2 linked regions of the Xenopus tropicalis genome follow. The protein of the gene in region 1 interacts with the protein of each later gene in a pairwise test. Links are inferred from orthologs where the notes say so. Each region holds a gene or a part of one and is shown in the gene's direction. Other genes may lie near its edges. The genes, in order: usp13 and trim55.

The links.
Region 2: the proteins of usp13 (region 1) and trim55 interact in a two-hybrid assay, tested with the Homo sapiens proteins (2 studies listed by BioGRID and IntAct). The link is inferred for Xenopus tropicalis from reciprocal best matches to the Homo sapiens genes USP13 and TRIM55.

Annotation. Positions count from the first base shown.
Region 1 is NC_030681.2:108,721,439-108,730,211, reverse strand, and holds part of usp13 (ubiquitin carboxyl-terminal hydrolase 13), read left to right. Parts: intron 1-156; coding exon 157-278; intron 279-1,738; coding exon 1,739-1,881; intron 1,882-2,089; coding exon 2,090-2,289; intron 2,290-3,539; coding exon 3,540-3,634; intron 3,635-3,866; coding exon 3,867-4,054; intron 4,055-6,926; coding exon 6,927-6,998; intron 6,999-7,845; coding exon 7,846-7,939; intron 7,940-8,773. UniProt on the Homo sapiens protein: Deubiquitinase that mediates deubiquitination of target proteins such as BECN1, MITF, SKP2 and USP10 and is involved in various processes such as autophagy, endoplasmic reticulum-associated degradation (ERAD), cell cycle progression or DNA damage response.
Region 2 is NC_030682.2:118,727,216-118,736,522, forward strand, and holds the start of trim55 (tripartite motif-containing protein 55), read left to right. Parts: upstream 1-4,809; 5' UTR 4,810-5,005; coding exon 5,006-5,173; intron 5,174-6,794; coding exon 6,795-6,967; intron 6,968-9,307. UniProt on the Homo sapiens protein: E3 ubiquitin ligase that plays an important role in regulating cardiac development and contractility, muscle growth, metabolism, and fiber-type differentiation.

The DNA of each region.
Region 1 (8,773 bases):
ATACTTATGGACTTCTCCCATTTATTTTGTAAATATAAACTTTAGGTGACTTGGTGCAAAAAGAAGAATCTTTTCTTTATTCATTTCCATGCATTGATTTAGATAAATTATGTTTTATATTTATGTTGCTGAGCTTAATACCCCTGTGTTTTCCAGATCTAGAAAATAACACCGAGATGAACACTGAAGATTATGAATACGAAGATGAAGCAAAACTTGTTATATTCCCAGATCACTTTGAAATTGCCTTACCTAATATAGAAGAGCTACCCGCATTGGTCAGTGACTTTGAGTGGGATTGTACAGTGTGAACACAAACCAAGCAATATTTGCATCTCATGAGTTTCCTTTTTGGGACTTTTTTTAGTCCCTTTTTTTTATCTATGGTCTGCAAATAGATTTGTGTACGGTAATCCCTTGACAAATGGGAAATGTCATATTTACTCTGTGAAGTGTGAAGACCCTTTGCATTTGAAGTGCAAGTAACGCCAAACAGTCAGATTACTTGGAGCAGCATTGTGTTCTAAGCTGCTCATCTGTTACATGCTATGCAAATTGGGCATTGCAGGCCTGCATGACTGCTTCTACTGTTACTAAAATACTTGTTTACGTTTAGGCCTCTGGCACATGGGGTGTTTTGTGAACAGCTGACTTCAGGCTAAGAACAGTGGCTGACAAAACACCCCTCTCCACCTGTTACAGCTCCTTATACTAGTGAATGACACATGTGCATTTGAATGGACATAGAATAGTGATGGAAGTGGAAACCAAGCACTAGGTTGAGAGGGGCATTTTGGTTGCTGCTGCTTCTCTCTGCCTGAGGGCAGCGACAGACAAAACACCTTGTGTGTTAAGGGTTTAGAAGTACTAGACTGATGTCACATGGGGCTGCGGTAGACTTGCTGAGAGTTTACATCTCAGAGCCAATATTTGCTGCTTCTGCCTGTACCCAGGTGGACACAATGCTTTCGGGTGCAGGCAAGGTAAGAGGCTAACGCAGGCCGAGAATCAGCCCCGCGTGGCATCAGCCTTAGGTCAATGGTAAATGCATCAGTTTAGTGCCTGTGATCTTTAGTGTCCTGGGAGGCAACCATAACCTAGACTTATATACATTATTTTCCATGGCATTACTTCCTGAGCTACAAAAAATGACAGCCAAAGATATCCCATCTACCATTATCATATGATTACTGCACGCATCATGAATAGCATTTTACCTATTAATTATCACACATTAATGCTTTAAAAAAATAATCTTTTAAGACCAATGTGCAATGGACCTTTGACTCATTCCCCTTTGTGGTTTTTCATCTGAAGAAGTGGGGCCTGAAAGTGGCTGTGCAGTCTGTGTCATGTAACTGAATGTGTCTGTCATTAGGGGGCAGAAACCTGTATCTCAACCCCAAATGTGTTGGTGCTTAAATCCTAAACTCATATACAGTCAAAACAGCCAGAATCACATTTACTGCCTGCCATAAGAGATGATGCTAAAAGCAGATGACAGTGCACCTCCACTTTTAATCGGAAGTCAAATTGTTTTGTGGGTTATGAGGCTTATATAAAATGGGGCAAATTTTGTGTGTTTTATCTGCTTTATTTTTTAGTGTGTTGTCAAGGAGCTATGAATTGTCCCTTTCCACCTCCCATAGAGTTTAATGTGAGAAATCCTTTTTATGTACCATCCTTCTATCTGCTTTGATGCAAAAGTGTTTGAAGGTTTAACCCACTTTGTTTGCAGGTAACAATAGCCTGTGATGCAGTCCTCAATTCAAAGTCTCCATATAGAAAGCTTGACCAAGAATCATGGGAAGAAGAACTCCAGGTTTCAAAGTTTGCAAACAACCTTGTGCAAATAGATAATGGTGTGAAGATTCCACCAAGGTAACTGTCATGAAGTAGCAAGGAGTGGAAACTGTCATTCTTAGCCCTTTTTTTAGCTGTATAGTGCAAACATTTTGCCCTAAATATTGCTCTAAACATTTGTATAAAGTTTTGCTATATAAAATATTAAGTCTGGCAGTGTCCGCAGATTTACTAGTGCTATGTTGTATGAAAAGTGTTTACCAAATTTTTGAACTTGTTAATTAAGTAGCCTGTTTCTCAGTGGCTGGAAGTGCTCCAAGTGTGATCTCCAAGAGAACCTGTGGTTGAACTTGACAGATGGCTCCATTATGTGTGGAAGGTGGTTTTGTTCAGGCAGTGGTGGGAACGGACACGCTCTTGAACACCATAAGCAAATGGGCTACCCTTTGGCAGTAAGACTAGGAAGTATCACTCCAGATGGGGCAGGTGAGAAAATGATTCTGGGACAACATCTGTTATTAGTTGCAATATATTCTTTTCATTCTTGGATTATTCATTACCTGGGTAACAGCAGCTTACATTCTGCCTGTTTAGGGTAACCTGACCTCTAGCACTGTTACCTTGACCTTTAGCACATTTAGAGTAGGTGGGAGGGACAGGGCCATATTGTATAAGAGCCCTAATAAATATTTCAATATCAAATGCTTATGAATTGCAACAAACTAAATCTCTCTGCAGCGCAGGGCCCAAAATATTGAAAAATAACAGAAACATCAGTCTTTATCTGCTTTACATTCCAGATCTACTGTTGACACTTGATCTTACACTAGGGTCTCAGGCTTAAATTCTACCTCCTATTTCTTCAGACCCCATGTCATGTCATTTGCTATTATGGTCTCTCTGCATAATTAGCCCATAAATAACCCATAGATTGAAGCATTAATTACTGACAAGAACTCGACAAACCGCTTTAGAAAAATGCTTTATCTTTAAAATGACATTGTCCTTTAAAAGTAAACAGTGCAGCAACATTATTGAGAAAATTTACATTCAAATTTTCTACTTTGGTTTCTACTTTTTTTCTACTGTTTAGCCAATTTAATATTTGCATGATCTTGCAGAGTAAATTGTACTATTCAGTTCTCCATTCTTAGTTAATTGTTAATGTAAATTGTTAATGTTACAGAATGTCTTAAGGTGCCCATACACCTTAAGATCCGCTTGGCGATGTCGCCAAGCGAGCGTATCTTCTCTCGATATCCCCCACCTACGGGTGGGCGATATCAGGAGAATCCAGGCTAATTCGATAGTTTGGCCCTGGGGCCAAACGATCAAATTATAATGTCGGGCATAGGAAAAGTCGGTCCGGGGACCGCAACAACGAGCCGATGCGGTCCCCGATCCGACTAGATTTTTAAACCTGCCCGATCGAGATCTGGCCGATTGGTTTTCCCTTTTCTCTGTAATAATAACACAGTACATTGTACTTGATCCCCATTGGGTTTAATTACTGTTTAAATATTTTTTAGTGGACTTAAGGTAGGAGATCTGAATTATGGAAAGACCCCATATCCAGAAATCCCCAGGTCCTGAGCATTCTGGATAATAGGTTCTATACCTGCAATACGCTATTGGAGAGATGATCATGTAAATTTAAAATATGCTTTGCTGATGACCCCATCTATGCAAATATTAATAAATATATCTAATTGCGCACTATCGTTTGGTCATTGCAGATGTGTATTCCTTTGATGAAGAGGAAGCAGTTATAGATCCCCACCTGGCCAAGCACCTTGCGCACTTTGGCATTGATATGCTGCAGATGCAGGGAGTACGTGTTTTCTTACTAATAATGATCATCCTTATGTTTATAGAGGTCTTTTACAAAGCACAGTTTAATGCATTACTGTATAGTAGCATAACCAGTCTGTATTAGGAGGTATCTCATCTAAGCACCATGATGCTTATAAATAAATAGCAATTGTAAAGACATGATCCCTATTTAGTGATTATGACCTCTCGGCGTTTTCTTGTTGACATGATGCTTATTGGCTCTCTTTTAGAGTGAGAATGGTGTCCTGGACAATGAAGTCAAACCAAGAGTTAATGAGTGGGAGGTTATCCAAGAAACTGGATTAAAGTTAAAGCCAATGTTTGGCTCTGGCTACACTGGCATTAAAAACCTTGGGAACAGCTCCTACCTCACTACAGTGATGCAAGTCATCTTTAGCATCCCTGAGTTTCAGAGAGCGTGAGTATCCTTGAATGTATTGGAACTCTTTGTATTTTTTGTTTCATATGTCATTACAAAGGTGACCACTACAGTACAGCTGAGAGCATGTGGTTTTTCTCTAGATTAGAATTCCACGTGTCAACCCATGTTATGATCCTTTAATTTTTTAAACTAAGGAGCATTCTATAGCCTGTACATAAAATTGCAAATTAATGCAACAAGCAAACCAATTTGTCTCTAGAGTTTAGTGGAGATCTGACTGGTATTTTAAACAGGTCTTCTTTGATTGATGTGCAGGTCTATCCGTTTTAGATGGTGCATTCTTTAGTTTAGTCTGAAATCTGTAAATGTCAGTCTTCCTATTCAAACCATAATTCATGGAATTAATTCTATGTAGTGGTGTGCAGACCAGCCTGAAACCCACAAGTCGGGTGGGTTTGGCCAACATTAGCAAAAGATTTGTGGATTGTAGGTGGGTTCAGGCTTCCTTTTGCCCTGCCTGTGTCCTTACTGTACCCCATTTCTGCCTATGATAGCCTCTGTTTATAGGTGTGCGCTTGCACCGCCCCCTTCATGACACAGAGATGGGGCAGGTCAGACACAAGTCAAAATAGAGGTGTATTCCCGGGTTGGGTTAGGAGCAGGCAGGTTAGGGCTGATGCACATCACTAAATCTGTGGTCATAGATATAAATATGTGATGTGGCATTTTGGATTATAGACCAAAAATGACATACAGGTATGGGACCTGTTATCTAGAATGCTCGGGACCTGGGGTTTTCCGTATAAGGGATCTTTCCGTAATTTGGATCTCAACAATTTAAGTCTGCTAAAAATCATTTAAATAATTAATAAACCCAATAGGCTTGTTTTGCCTCCAATAAGGATTTATTATGTCTCAGCTGGGATCAAGTACAAGCTACTGTTTTTTTCGGAGCGTTAAAACTTTTCTCGCCTTTTTCGTAGCCATTCCGAAAGTTGCGCAAAATGTTGCGATTTTTTTCGTAGCGCTCGGATTCATTCAAGCTTCAGTATGGTGACTTTTCTTGGGCCAGGTTGGAGCTGCAGGGTGCCATTGAGTCCTATGGGAGGTTTCCAAAATCATGCTAAGTCTGAAAGTTTCGCCCGCCGCTTATGAGCGCTCAATACGAAAAAGTCGCGTCAAGATACGAGCGAATCATAATGGATACGAAAAAAATCGTATTGGTAACGAAAAAGTCGCGACAATTTCCGAAAAGTCGTAAAGGCGCCGAAAAAATCGCAAAAAATACGAAAAAGTCACAAAATTTTCGTTTTCCAATCGGAATTTTTCCAATTCGGATTCGTGGGTTAGTAAATGTGCCCCTTAATCTGTTTTCACACTCCAGATGGAAATCTAAAAAAATGGCTGTGCCCTGGTAATATTTAAATATATTTTTGCATGCTAATTTCAGGTACCTCTTCTGTAAACCATCTAACTATTCCAGGATTACAAACATTAATGCATTATGGTAAACACATGCAAGCAAAAATAAGGTAGAAAATATCTAGTAGTGGAAGTGTTTTCATTTGTGTTCTGTTCATTTCTCCCAGATCAGGGAGACCTAATATGAGCAAATAGACCCAGAAAGAATAATTTGGCAGCATGTATAGATGTATGCAATAGAATACCACTCTTTCCACCCTCTCTGCAACAGTGTGGGACTGGCCCACCAAGATACCAGGAAAACTCCCGGTAGGCCCATGTGTCAGGTGGCCCTCTTGCTCACACAACCATTTGCCTTTTATGCCTATACCATGGACATTACTCAATTCTATGGGGCTGATTTACTAATCCACGAATCCGAATCCCGAACGGGAAAAAATCGGATTGGAAACGAACATTTTGCGACTTTTTCGTATTTTTTGTGTTTTTTCCGTCGCCGTCACGACTTTTTCATAAATTGTTGCGACTTTTTCGTAGCCGTTACGATTTGCGCGAATTGTCGCAACTTTTTCATAGCCGTTACGACTTGCTCGTATATTGTCGCGACTTTTTCGTATTGAGCGTTCGTAAACGGCGGGCAAACCTTTCAGACTTTGCATGATTTTGGAAGCCTCCCATAGGACTCAATGGCACTCTGCAGCTCCAACCTGGCCCAAGGAAAGTCTCCCATAGGGCTCAATGGCACTCTGCAGCTCCAACCTGGCCCAAGGAAAGTCACAATACTGAAGCTTGAATGAATCTGAAACTTTCGTACTCGGCGCGACCGCTAGGAAAAAGTCGCGACAATTTGCGCAAGTCGTAATGGCTACGAAAAAGTCGCGACAATTTACGAGCAAGTCATAATGGCTACGAAAAAGTCGCGACAATTTACGAAAAAAATCGCAAAATACCGATCATTACGAAAAAAACGCATTCGGACACTTTTCGGACGTTCGTGGATTAGTAAATGTGCCCCTATATGTGAAGAAATGGAGGAAAGGATAGATAATAGTATGTAAAAAGTGAACAGAGAAGGGGAGAGTAGGCGTAAGGTTTAAGGGTTTTCTGGTGGGCCCTTGGCACCCCAGTCTGACACTGTTCTGCGTTGACTTCTTTCTTTTTAACCTCTGGGCATGGAATATTGACACAGTTAACTGTGCTTATTGGCACTCTTGCTAGTAGCTTCCGCTGATGCCATGTAAACATTATATTCCACTATTTGCACAAAGAAATGGTAGATCAAGTTAGTTTTTCACACAGACAAGTATGATAAGACGATATTCCATGACTTCCTCATGTGCCATGTAAACAATTTATAATTGTATAATTTAATTTAGTATAAATACTAAATCAGATGCAAGGTTTTATTGTTTTACACCAGTACATGAATTTTTTACATCCCACTTCTCTCTTGTATTAATATTTTTTTCCCTGTCTTATTTTTTAGATATGTGGGGAACCTTACACGAATATTTGATTATGCACCTCTGGACCCAACACAGGATTTCAGCACACAGATGTAAGCAATAGATACCATTGTTCACCTTGACCAGTAGATATTATAAAATTCTGAAATACCCTACAAAAACTCAAAAACTATGTATTTTTCATGTAGACAAAAACATTTGTAGCCCCATTAAAATATAATTTCTTTGCAGTAAAAACAATCAGGAATAAGGGGAAAGATAAGAGTAGCATCAACTTCTTTCACTATTTCACTATTTCTTTCTGTCTGGACTCTGGATATCATGGGAGGAGATAGAATGATTTAATCACCCACCTAGCCAACTATTTGATATTGGGCCCTGCTCTCTCCTTTGTATTGCCTGTACTCTTGTGGCATAAATATAAAGAGTAGATCTTTATGCAGACTCCTCACTTCCTCTCTTTTCTTAGAATAATGGTTTCCAAATTGGGCCTGGATCAGTACCAGGGTGGCACACCAGAACACCTAGCTAGAAGATCAATTCAGGAGAGATTTTGGGTTGAAAATGTATATGCTGTGCTATATATTTTTAGAACTATGGCTGAGCGAATGGTAAATTAATTGTTTTCTATATCTGTAAATTTTTATGAACTAAAGGGGGGCCTGGCCATGGTTTGGAACTTCAAGGAGAACTAATAAAAGTAATAAAAGATAATAAAAGTTTGACAACCAGTGCCTTAGGATGACCTTTCTGGGCTTAATGAGAAGTAGTTAATGTAAAAAGATATCATGTTCCATTTATGCATATAATAATTTTAATCTGTAAGTAATGCTTGGTGAGGTCTGACAGTGGCAAGGCACAGCAACTGTATGTCAGCTCACTTCAAAATATAAAGCTCACTGACATGTTTTCATGGTTTTTCTTCATGATTCTGCTTAGGGCTAAACTTGGCCATGGTCTGCTGTCAGGACAGTTCTCCAAACCTCCAATGAAATCTGAGCTAATCGAGCAGGTGATGAAAGAAGAACACAAGGTATTTAATCTGAGAATTGCCAAAGGTAGAGTGAGTTATGGATATGAACAGATGCAAGCTTTCACTAATGCACAGTGGAGTCTTATTAAATGTCATTTATGGAGAGTATCACACCAATGTGCGATTTGCAGAAACCTCAGATAAGCCCTTTGATTCAGGGGACAACTAGCAAAGCAAATATTAAATAAACAGCATTGGGTACATCTTGGCTAAACAGGGTGACGTTTTGGTTGTTCTCTCTTGGTAAATAAGCTACCTTGACTCCTCTTTTTAGAGATTTAAAGGTTCTTGCCAAATAAAAGTTTTTTTTCTTTTTTTTAATCTTGGTTAGTATATAAACGTACCCCCATATCTGATATAAAGCATATTACTTTGCAAAACCAAGCATATAGTTGATTAGAATGTGTTTATTTCTACCATTGTGGAACAACTGTGTCATTTGAAGTAGAACCTCTTGTTTCCACATATTAATCATGAAACTTTTAGTATGTTATAGAATGTCCTTTTGTTTTGGTCTCTATTTTTTATGGTTTTGAATAATTTGCCTTTTTCTTCTCTTCGTTATCACTTTCAAATGTGTGTCACCGACGCAGAAGTGAAAAAAACTACTGCTCTTTAAGGAATACATTTTATTGTTTCTTTTTATTATTTATATTCAGATTATTTCCAAGTCATCTTCCTGTCTCTTATTTAAATCACTTCTTGGTTGCCAGGGTAGAAGTTCTCCAGCTGCTAAAATTTCAATCTCGATAGGTGATAAACAAAAAGCTAAATAACTGAAAAACCATAAAATAATTATAACCAACTGCAAACTGTCTCTACATCAGAGCTGTC
Region 2 (9,307 bases), on another chromosome or scaffold:
ACAAAACTCACCTCAACCAGGCCTTGAAAAATATCCAGTCTAAAAGCATCAAGAGAACAGGGAATTTACATGTAAAGTTATCATCCATCATTCCCTTCCCTGGGTGATTTAGTTATTCATTATCATTATGGCCACATTGGATCACTCCCATTATTCATTTGAACCTTTTTCTCATTATCATTTAGTTCTGTTATTGACATTATCCCATGGATTACTTTGATAGATCTTTGGACTTTGTATATTTATGGAAACATTTTGATGGGCAGTTATATCACCAATGTCAGAGGTTGGGGGGCTTGCATGATTGTTTAAGGGAGTTTAGTTTTGTCATATTTCATTATAGCTCCAAGTAGTGACTTGTTTGGAAAAAAGGACAATCTGTAGTCCAACAGTTTCTGTTAGAGAGCTTGTTATGCTGATTATTTTGTCCCAAACACAAAAAAATGAGAATATGAGTTAAATAAAATGTTCCAGGTCACACTGACCTAGTGTCACAAAGCACATTGCAAATCGGTCAGGATCATTTATCAGCTTTCCACTAAGTGAAACTATAGCATTAGCTCTTCTCAATGCAAGGCTTAAATGAACAGTAATTTCAAAAAAATGAAAGTAATTAAAATATAATGTATTGTTGCCCTGCACTTGTAAAACTGGTGCCTTTACTTCAGAAACTTTGCTTTTTAGTTTATACAGGTATGGGACCTGTAATCCAGAATGCTGGGGCTTTCCGAATAAGGGATCTTTCCATAATTTGGATCTCCATAACTTAAGTCTACTAAAATTAATTTAAACATTAAATAAACCCAATAGGATTGTTTTGCCTCCAATAAGGGGTAATTACATCTTAGTTGGGATCAAGTACAAGGTACTGTTTTATTATTACAGAGAAAAGGGAATCATTTATCCATTAAATAAACCCAATAGGGCTGTTCTGCCCCCAATAAGGGGTAATTATATCTTAGTTGGGATCAAGTACAGGTACTGTTTTATTATTACAGAGAAAAGGGAATCATTTAACCATTAAATAAACCCAATAGGGCTGTTCTGCCCCCAATAAGGGGTAATTATATCTTAGTTGGGATCAAGTACAGGTACTGTTTTATTATTACAGAGAAAAAGGAAATAATTTTTAAACATTATAATTATTTGCTTATAATGGAGTCTATGGGAGATGGCCTTTCTGTAATTTGGAACTTTCTGGATAACGGGTTTCCGGATAAGGGATCCCATACCTGTATATATAAGCTGCTGTGTAGCGACAGAAAAAACACAAAATCCGTTATCTGCTGTGTAGCCTGTTCTTGAATGGCTGCCCCCATGGCTACAGCTATAGTAGCGCTTCTGAAGCAAAGGCACCAGTTCTTCCAGTGCAGGGCAACAGTACATTGTATTTCCATTGCTTTAAAACAATTTCATTTTTAGATGTTACTTTACAGCATGTCTTGCACCATAGAGCCAAACTATGCACTATAAGATCACCTCGTGAAAGCTCCATTAATGAACCCCAAACAAGTGTGTGGGAAATATATGATTAAAAAATTGTACACAGTTGTCTAATGCTCTTATATTTCCTAAAAATCTGTCATTCAGAAGATAATGATGGATAAAACTGAAGTGTATCATATAAGTGAGAGCCTACTGTAGTAAATGGCGAAATACATGTGTGTGGGGGTGGATATGCCTGCTAAGCACAGAAGCCTTTGGATGGTATTTGAGGGGTTAACAAATATATGTTGTTATAGATTTTCTTAAATGAATAAAGAATTGCTTACTTAAAATAATAAAATGAGTATCAGTTAGGGAACTTGTTGGCTTGTAGACAATGGAGTTTATGAGGGTGTAGCATTGGGGTGGCAGATACATGCTAGAATGTAGAAAACACTACGGTTCAATACTTTTTCCTTTATTGCCTCACCATTTTTGCAGACCTATTAGGGCATATGTATGTCCACAAGTGCATGTGGTCCCCTCAATTTCCCCACAGTCTGTTGCGTGTAAAACCACTTTCATAAAAGGTATTTTTACCAAAATGTCCTCCAAGGACTTCCATATAGTTGCGCTTGGCACCACCCAATCCTTCCTACCTTCCATATTGAATTGAGAGCTGTGACACTCATTAATGCAGTAGAAACCCACAGCTACCACCATCTTTGGAATAGGCAGTAGCTCAAGGGTTCCCTCGGTGCCCTGCATCAATCACTATAGTTCAGTTGCGCCAAATGAATAGGGTACATGCATCACTTCCATGGCAATCACTAGAAATGATATTGTTTGTTACTTACATGGAGCAAGCAGTTGTCTATAAATATAGACTGCTTAAGGCTGAAGTGGGGCATAGGATTTTGCAGATGGGGTAGAAAGAAGAAAGAGTTTGGCACAGACCTCACCGCTACCCAAAATGAATGTGCGTTTGTCAGCCCTAACCTTCCCAACCAGCGGTACATCTTTCCAGACTCTCACCTCTCTCCCTTTAAGTCTCAAAGTTCAGTTGGTTTAAAATCCTCCTACACTTTCCTGAGGGAGAACTTGTTTACACCCTGATAAAATTTTTAGCATGTCTGGCTGCAAAGCAAAGGATAAAATACAAAATCCCTTTGTTAACCTTGAAAGCCATTCACGTCTCTTTTCCTTATTATATTTTTCACTTAGGTATCTGTATTTTACTCTCACAGTTGCTGCCTTTTTCACACCCAGGGGTAGAGTGGTTTAGGTAGTCTTGATGGACCTTGGTCAGGGTGTGACCAGTTGAGATATGAGGCCCCATCATTCCTTAGAATAACCCTACTCAAACCAGTAACAAACACTGCCATTTAAACATTTCTATATGGTTTTTAGCTCTAGGATTTTATCCCTGACATGATCTGTAAGAAACTCTCCCTCATTCCCTTTAAAAATAAATTCATGTCTTCTTGGAGCACTAGTACAACGTCTGGTATGACCCTGGCACTTTTGGCCAAGGGCCCCAATATTACTGCATTATTACCTTGTTTAGGGCCAATGTTACCCAATCTCTTGATTCAGACTGCTTCCTGCAGAGACAGAAATAAGGAGCTCTTATGTTCCAGGGATTCCAGTAACCTTCACACCAGGTGGTTTTGAGTACCCAGTGACCCTTAATATTTGACATTACCAGATATCTCTGCATTGAAGGCATTTATTTGGAAGTCCTTTTGCAATACAACACAATGTCATTTCCAGGGGGTAGGTTTAGTTTTGTTTTAGTTTTGCGTTACTAGAGATAGAAATATCAAAAGTGATCTCTCCACCAGAGACCCTTGAGAGACCCTATTTCTGAGGCCTGACAGACGCTGATATACTAATAATCCCTAGACTCAAATCTTCTCATCAGTAGATCTACATTTCTTTCTGTTTTTATTTTAGATGAAGGACAATTGGGTTGTCATTTCTGTAGGTGTTACTTAGATTTCCCACTATCCTATCAGCTTCAGACTGGGGTACCTGGGGCCCACCAAATACTGGACCTATAGGGCTGTGCTGTAATCTGTACCTAGTGCTGGATTACCAATGGATTACAAAAGCGGGTCCCTTGGTTCTCTAGAAATTGCATCCAGGTTCATAGTAAATAACTCCTTTACTGTTATGGTATATAAAGATCTCTATGGTACATATATCTCTTTAGAAGAAAGAAGCTGCTTTCCCTATTAGAGGAGTTGGCAGAAATGAAAGTGATTCTGCTTATCCAATCAGATAGCAACCTCGTCCTGAGCAAAGTTACTGTATGTGCAACACAAACACCCATATCTAAGTAGGATGTACAAGGTTTGCCAGGTGCAGTAACCCAAAGAAACCAATAAGATGTTTGCATTTGAACAGCTGACAAGTAAATATTGAACTAGATATTTAGCAAAATTAACATAATTTAAGATTGTTTAAGATTTAGTTGTGAGAAACACAAGCTTAGCAAAATAAAGGGCAAAAAGTAATTTAAGGCACAAGTTGCTGCATTTTTTTTCCCACAATTCCAGCATAATTATATGCACACAGCGATAATGCGTCTGATACAATTGTGGCCAATGCATGAAAACATACACATATGTGTGAGTGCTTTGATGTGAACACACAGCAGCTAATTGTGCTGAAAATTTCCAGAGTTCAAATGTTGTAATTTCCAGAGCTCCGCGTAAAAATGCCGCCTGTGCCAGATTCTGTAGGCACAAGTTCACTGTATCAGTTGGCTGAGGCTGTTGTAGGAAGCTTGAGGGTTCCCCTGCACCAACAGGCACTGTAGCGCACAATTTTGTAACAAATGGGCACTCAGCACAACTGTGCAGAAGGGCTAGGAGCTTTGGATGCAAGCGCCTTTAATAAATGGTGTATATTTGTGACTGTGGAAACATTTGTGCAACCGCAACTGCACTTTATAAATGACCCCTTATGAGTTTGTGTTTTGCTTGGATACATAAGTAATTTCATGGATGTGCTGTGCTGGCAGCGTGTTGTATCCTACACACAACATTTAGTCAAATACACATGCAGATCTTTCCCTATATTACACATGCCATGCTGAATCTATAAGAATAGAATATTACAAGCTTTAGCCTGCTCCTTATTACTTCGTACTGCTTTTAGAAACCCTTTCCCACATGGGCTCCTCTGTTCAGATCAAGCAGACATATATATAATGACAACTGTCAGATTCCTTTCCAGATGTCCTTTTACCCAGCTGCCCCCACTCCTTCCAATTCCCACACAGAGGAATGCAGACCAGACATGCCTGGGATCCATCACCTGTCCGAATCCATCCCGGTGTCACTTTCATATATGGACAGAGCAGTATGGCAGCATGTGACAGACTGCTACTAAAAACAGCCCCAGCACTCCGCAGATGATCCTTTTAAACAATGTCACCCAGCTGAGCTGAGGAAACCCATTGGACATTTGATCACACACACAGTCCAGGAATTATTTGAAGGGAAGGAACCCGGAAACTGATCAGCACAACCTAGTTCTCCTAAAAGTTTATGCTTCTCAGAATAGAAAGGAGATGAGCACCTCATTGCAGTACAAGTCATTCTCCAAAGAGCAGCAAACTATGGATAATCTAGAGAAGCAACTCATATGTCCAATATGCCTGGAAATGTTCTCAAAACCCGTGGTCATACTTCCCTGTCAGCATAATCTGTGTAGGAAGTGCGCAAGTGATATATTCCAGGTAAGAATTTTAATGTTTGATCATCTAATCAATAGAAAATCCAAGCACCGCTTTCATGTGCTGTAAGTATTGTTATGATTTTATTCAAGTATAGGGCCTGTTATCCAGAATGCTCGAGACCTGGGGTTTTCCTGATAACAGATATTTCTGTAATTTGGAATTCCATACCTTAAGTCTACTAAAAATCATTTAAACATTAATTAAACATTAAAATGAAAACCTTACTGTAGAATATATGAAACAGTAAACCTGAGATACTACTCTAGGTAATCCAACATAAAAGTACATAGAGTGTGTTCATACAGAGTGTTGTTATTGTGTACTATACCAGAATCCCACACCAGGTGGAGGCTGCCGTGGCTGCTGGGAGATGTAGTACAACTTAGGTCTGCATGGTAGGCATGTCCTGTAACCTATGTAAAGCCACCATGCAACAGGCCAGTGCCTAACTTTAATCTGACATTTATGCATTCAGTTTGAAGCCTTGGATACATATACTGTACAGTTGACCTTCTCTGATTAAAATGATAATTTACAGACATTATACATCTTTTAATGTTTTTTTTCTAAAGCACCAATATTTTCCCCTAACTGTGAACAATACAGTAGCAATACAAAAATATAAAACACATAGCAGCCAACTTGTAAGGGCTTACAATTATTCGACAGCTATAGTCATTCAATGTACAAAAAAACAAATCAGGTATAGGATCAAGAATGCTTGGGGCCAGGGGTTTTCCAGATCACAAGTTTTTGAATAATTTGGATCAACATAATTTAAGTGTGCTAAAAACATTCAAACATGAATGTAAACATGTAAAGACAATAGTTTATGTATATACAGTACAGTATAGGATCTATTATCTGGAGTGATTTGGACCTGGGGCTTCCAGACAAAGGATCTTTCCATAATTTGGATACCGTAAGTCTACTAAAATATATTTTAGGCATTAAATAAACCCAATAGGATTGTTTTGCATCCAATAAGGATTAATTATCATGTTTGGACTGGGATTCAGAATAGGCCCTGTCATTTCAAACACCCAGAGGCCCAAACAGCCCCCACTAAACAGTGAATGGCACCTTACAGCAGCCTCTCTGGCATTTGCCAGAATCCACAGATTGCCAGTCTGGGCCTGTTAATCATAGCTTAGTTACCATTAAGTACAAGCTACTTTTCTTATTACAGAGAAAAGGGGAATCATTTTCAAAAATATCTGTAGTAATAAGTCACCCAACTGGCTTTCTCAGTTCAGAGAATTCAGCAAGTCTAGTTGATTTGACTTATTACTACAGATTACTACAGATTATACCATGACCTGGATGAATGAAAACCTTCACAGACACATTTTCAAAACTGTGAATTGATTAAAATGAAGTCCAAGGGAGCTGGACTTCTTATAATTTGAAACTTTCTGAATTACGGGTTTCTGTATAAAGAATCCCATATCTGTATATACTGCATGTAAACTGAAAGGACTGTACTTATAACTGAGACAATGATGCTACTATTACAACAACCTGTATTTACCTGTGTCAGACACAGACTTATCTCAATCTATTCTCGTGTCTAACACACATAGAAAATTTTTAACCAATTTTTCTCTGCTGTCATCTTCAGGCTTCCAATCCATATTTGCCAACACGAGGAGGAAACACAGTAGCATCAGGCGGACGTTTTCGTTGCCCCTCGTGCCGGCATGAAGTGGTGCTGGACAGACATGGGGTCTATGGACTACAAAGGAACTTACTGGTTGAAAATATTATTGACATTTATAAACAGGAATCTACAAGGTAACATTGGCATTTTAGTCTTGTTTTTTAACAGTAAATATCCTAAAGCAGAGTTTTTCTGAATTTTTTGGATTCAAGACTTTTTGGCCCTAAATTTGTTAGGGTTTCCATGTGCATGTGACATGGTTAGAGGTATGAGAACACTGTCATATTAGTCACCTTGTTATAGATTCATAAGGATCCCAAATGGCAAATCAGCATTAAGTTCACATTTTTTTTTGCCAACTTTTTCCTTACCATGTGAGGTTTTTTTTAACATACAGCTTTTTTTTGTGAGTCTATGGGTGTTTTTTCATGGCAAAACCTGGCAAAAAGTTTTGCTCCTCAGTAGTGGCAACATGTTCCGTGGCACTGTACATAGGAGTACCTGACAAATGACAAATAAAGTAGGTAATAAAGGCCCTATCCACAAGAGCTTACATGCCACACTGTATTTGTAAAACTGCATTGCATTGTGTAAGGAAAACAAGATATTTATGTCTATGAAGATTCTCATTCATCCAGGTCATGATATACAGTATCTAGTAGAATTAAGTCTAAAACAACTGGACTTTTCTGAGTTTTTTCACTCATCCGAGTGGCTTCTTCAGTTCAAATGACTGGTAGGGAAAAGATATATCTGTGCATTCTGTGACATGGATAAAGTTTGCCCAGTCAATTATGTCCAGGGGCATTTTTGCCAATAAGCAAGGTTTGAGACACCTTGGGTGGAAAATGAGCCAGATTCCAGGTTTATTTAGTTCTTTCAGTGGAATATTTGGCCAAACCTTACCCATTGTCCCTAACAGTTGCATATCTGTTTTTATAATAGTGATTGTGATTAGCTAATGACTTCATTTAATTAGCTCTATAATTCTCAATTGAATATATTGTAAAAAAGCAATTATACAGTATATTGCATAGGGTTAGTAAGTGGCATGTGTAAAGTCTTTAATATCTTTCAGATGTATGTTCCATTATCATTACCAGACCAATTTATCCCAAATGCTGCTGGTTATAGGACTAGGGTTGTTGCTAAATTATAAGCACTGTTTCATATCTATCTATTTCATGTGCTTTAACCAGTTTTCATGTTTTGTATTATGAAGATTTTGTAAATTGTAGGTTTAACAATTGAGGCACACAACAAAACAGAAAAATATAAAAACAAATAACATAATTACAGTATCTGCCTCCCTCTTGCATTACAAACCACTTCTCATTGTATGGACAAATAGATACTTCCTAGCCAGTTACCTGCAAATGAAGTCAGTTTTTGGCTGAGAGAGGCAGTTGTAAAGTTTGTAGCTTATAGATGTAACCCACAGTGTGAGAGAACCGTAGGCCACCAAGGTACTGGGGTACATAATAGGTTCTAATTGCACAATGGGTTTGAATGGTTTATATAAGATATTTAATGCAGTGTTTTGTGAGCTATGGTCATTGTCCAAACTAGAGATACCCTTAAGGTGGCCATACAAGGGCACATTTCAGCTGTTGATTTTGGTCCTTCAGACTGATTTGGAAGCTGGTCTGCCCGTGTTGGGCACCCCTGTTGGGCCTACCCAACCAACATCTGGCCTTAAATTATCCAGATCTTGATTAGGCAGGTTAGATTTTCCTGTTGGTTTGGGGACCGCATCAGCTTGTTGACACAGTTCTTGGTCTGATGGCGCCCATGCCCGCCGTTTTACATTAGATGGGCGTATCAAGAGAAGATTCATTCATTTGGCAACCTTGCCAAACAAGCAGATTGCAATATGTATGGCCACCTTTAGTCTGTTTTTAAACTACAGCACCTAGCATCAACTAACCCATCAAGGGTTTTCATGGCTGGCTTGAGTTGTAACAATAGCTGCAAGACTGCAGGTTGGACATCCATGGCATGATGTCATTCAGATAAGCAGAGATTATCAGAGACTGTGGAGTGGCTGTTTATACAACACAAAATTTCTCCCAGTCCCCCAGCACAGTACATGATTATTGTCTTAGGGGGTTGCTTGTTCTATTGTGGAGAACTGTAACAAACCTGAGACACTGTGTGATCATAAGGTGGTACTAATGAATAATGAATTAGAAGCATGCCTTAAAAGAATAAATCACCACCTACCTTTTTTCTTACCCATTAGACTTCTTTTTTACCTGCTTTTGCTTCTCCGTTTCACCAAACTTGAATGAATACATTTATTTTTCATACATTGTTAGTAATTACATACATTGTTAGTTAGTAGTACATACAGAGCAATTGCCATTTATTATGTAAGACAGACTAGTGGAGTTTTTTTTAAATTCTGTACTGTATATTTTGGCTAAATACAAACATCCTGCTTATGAGGGTTGCCAAAGTGTAGCTATCAATGA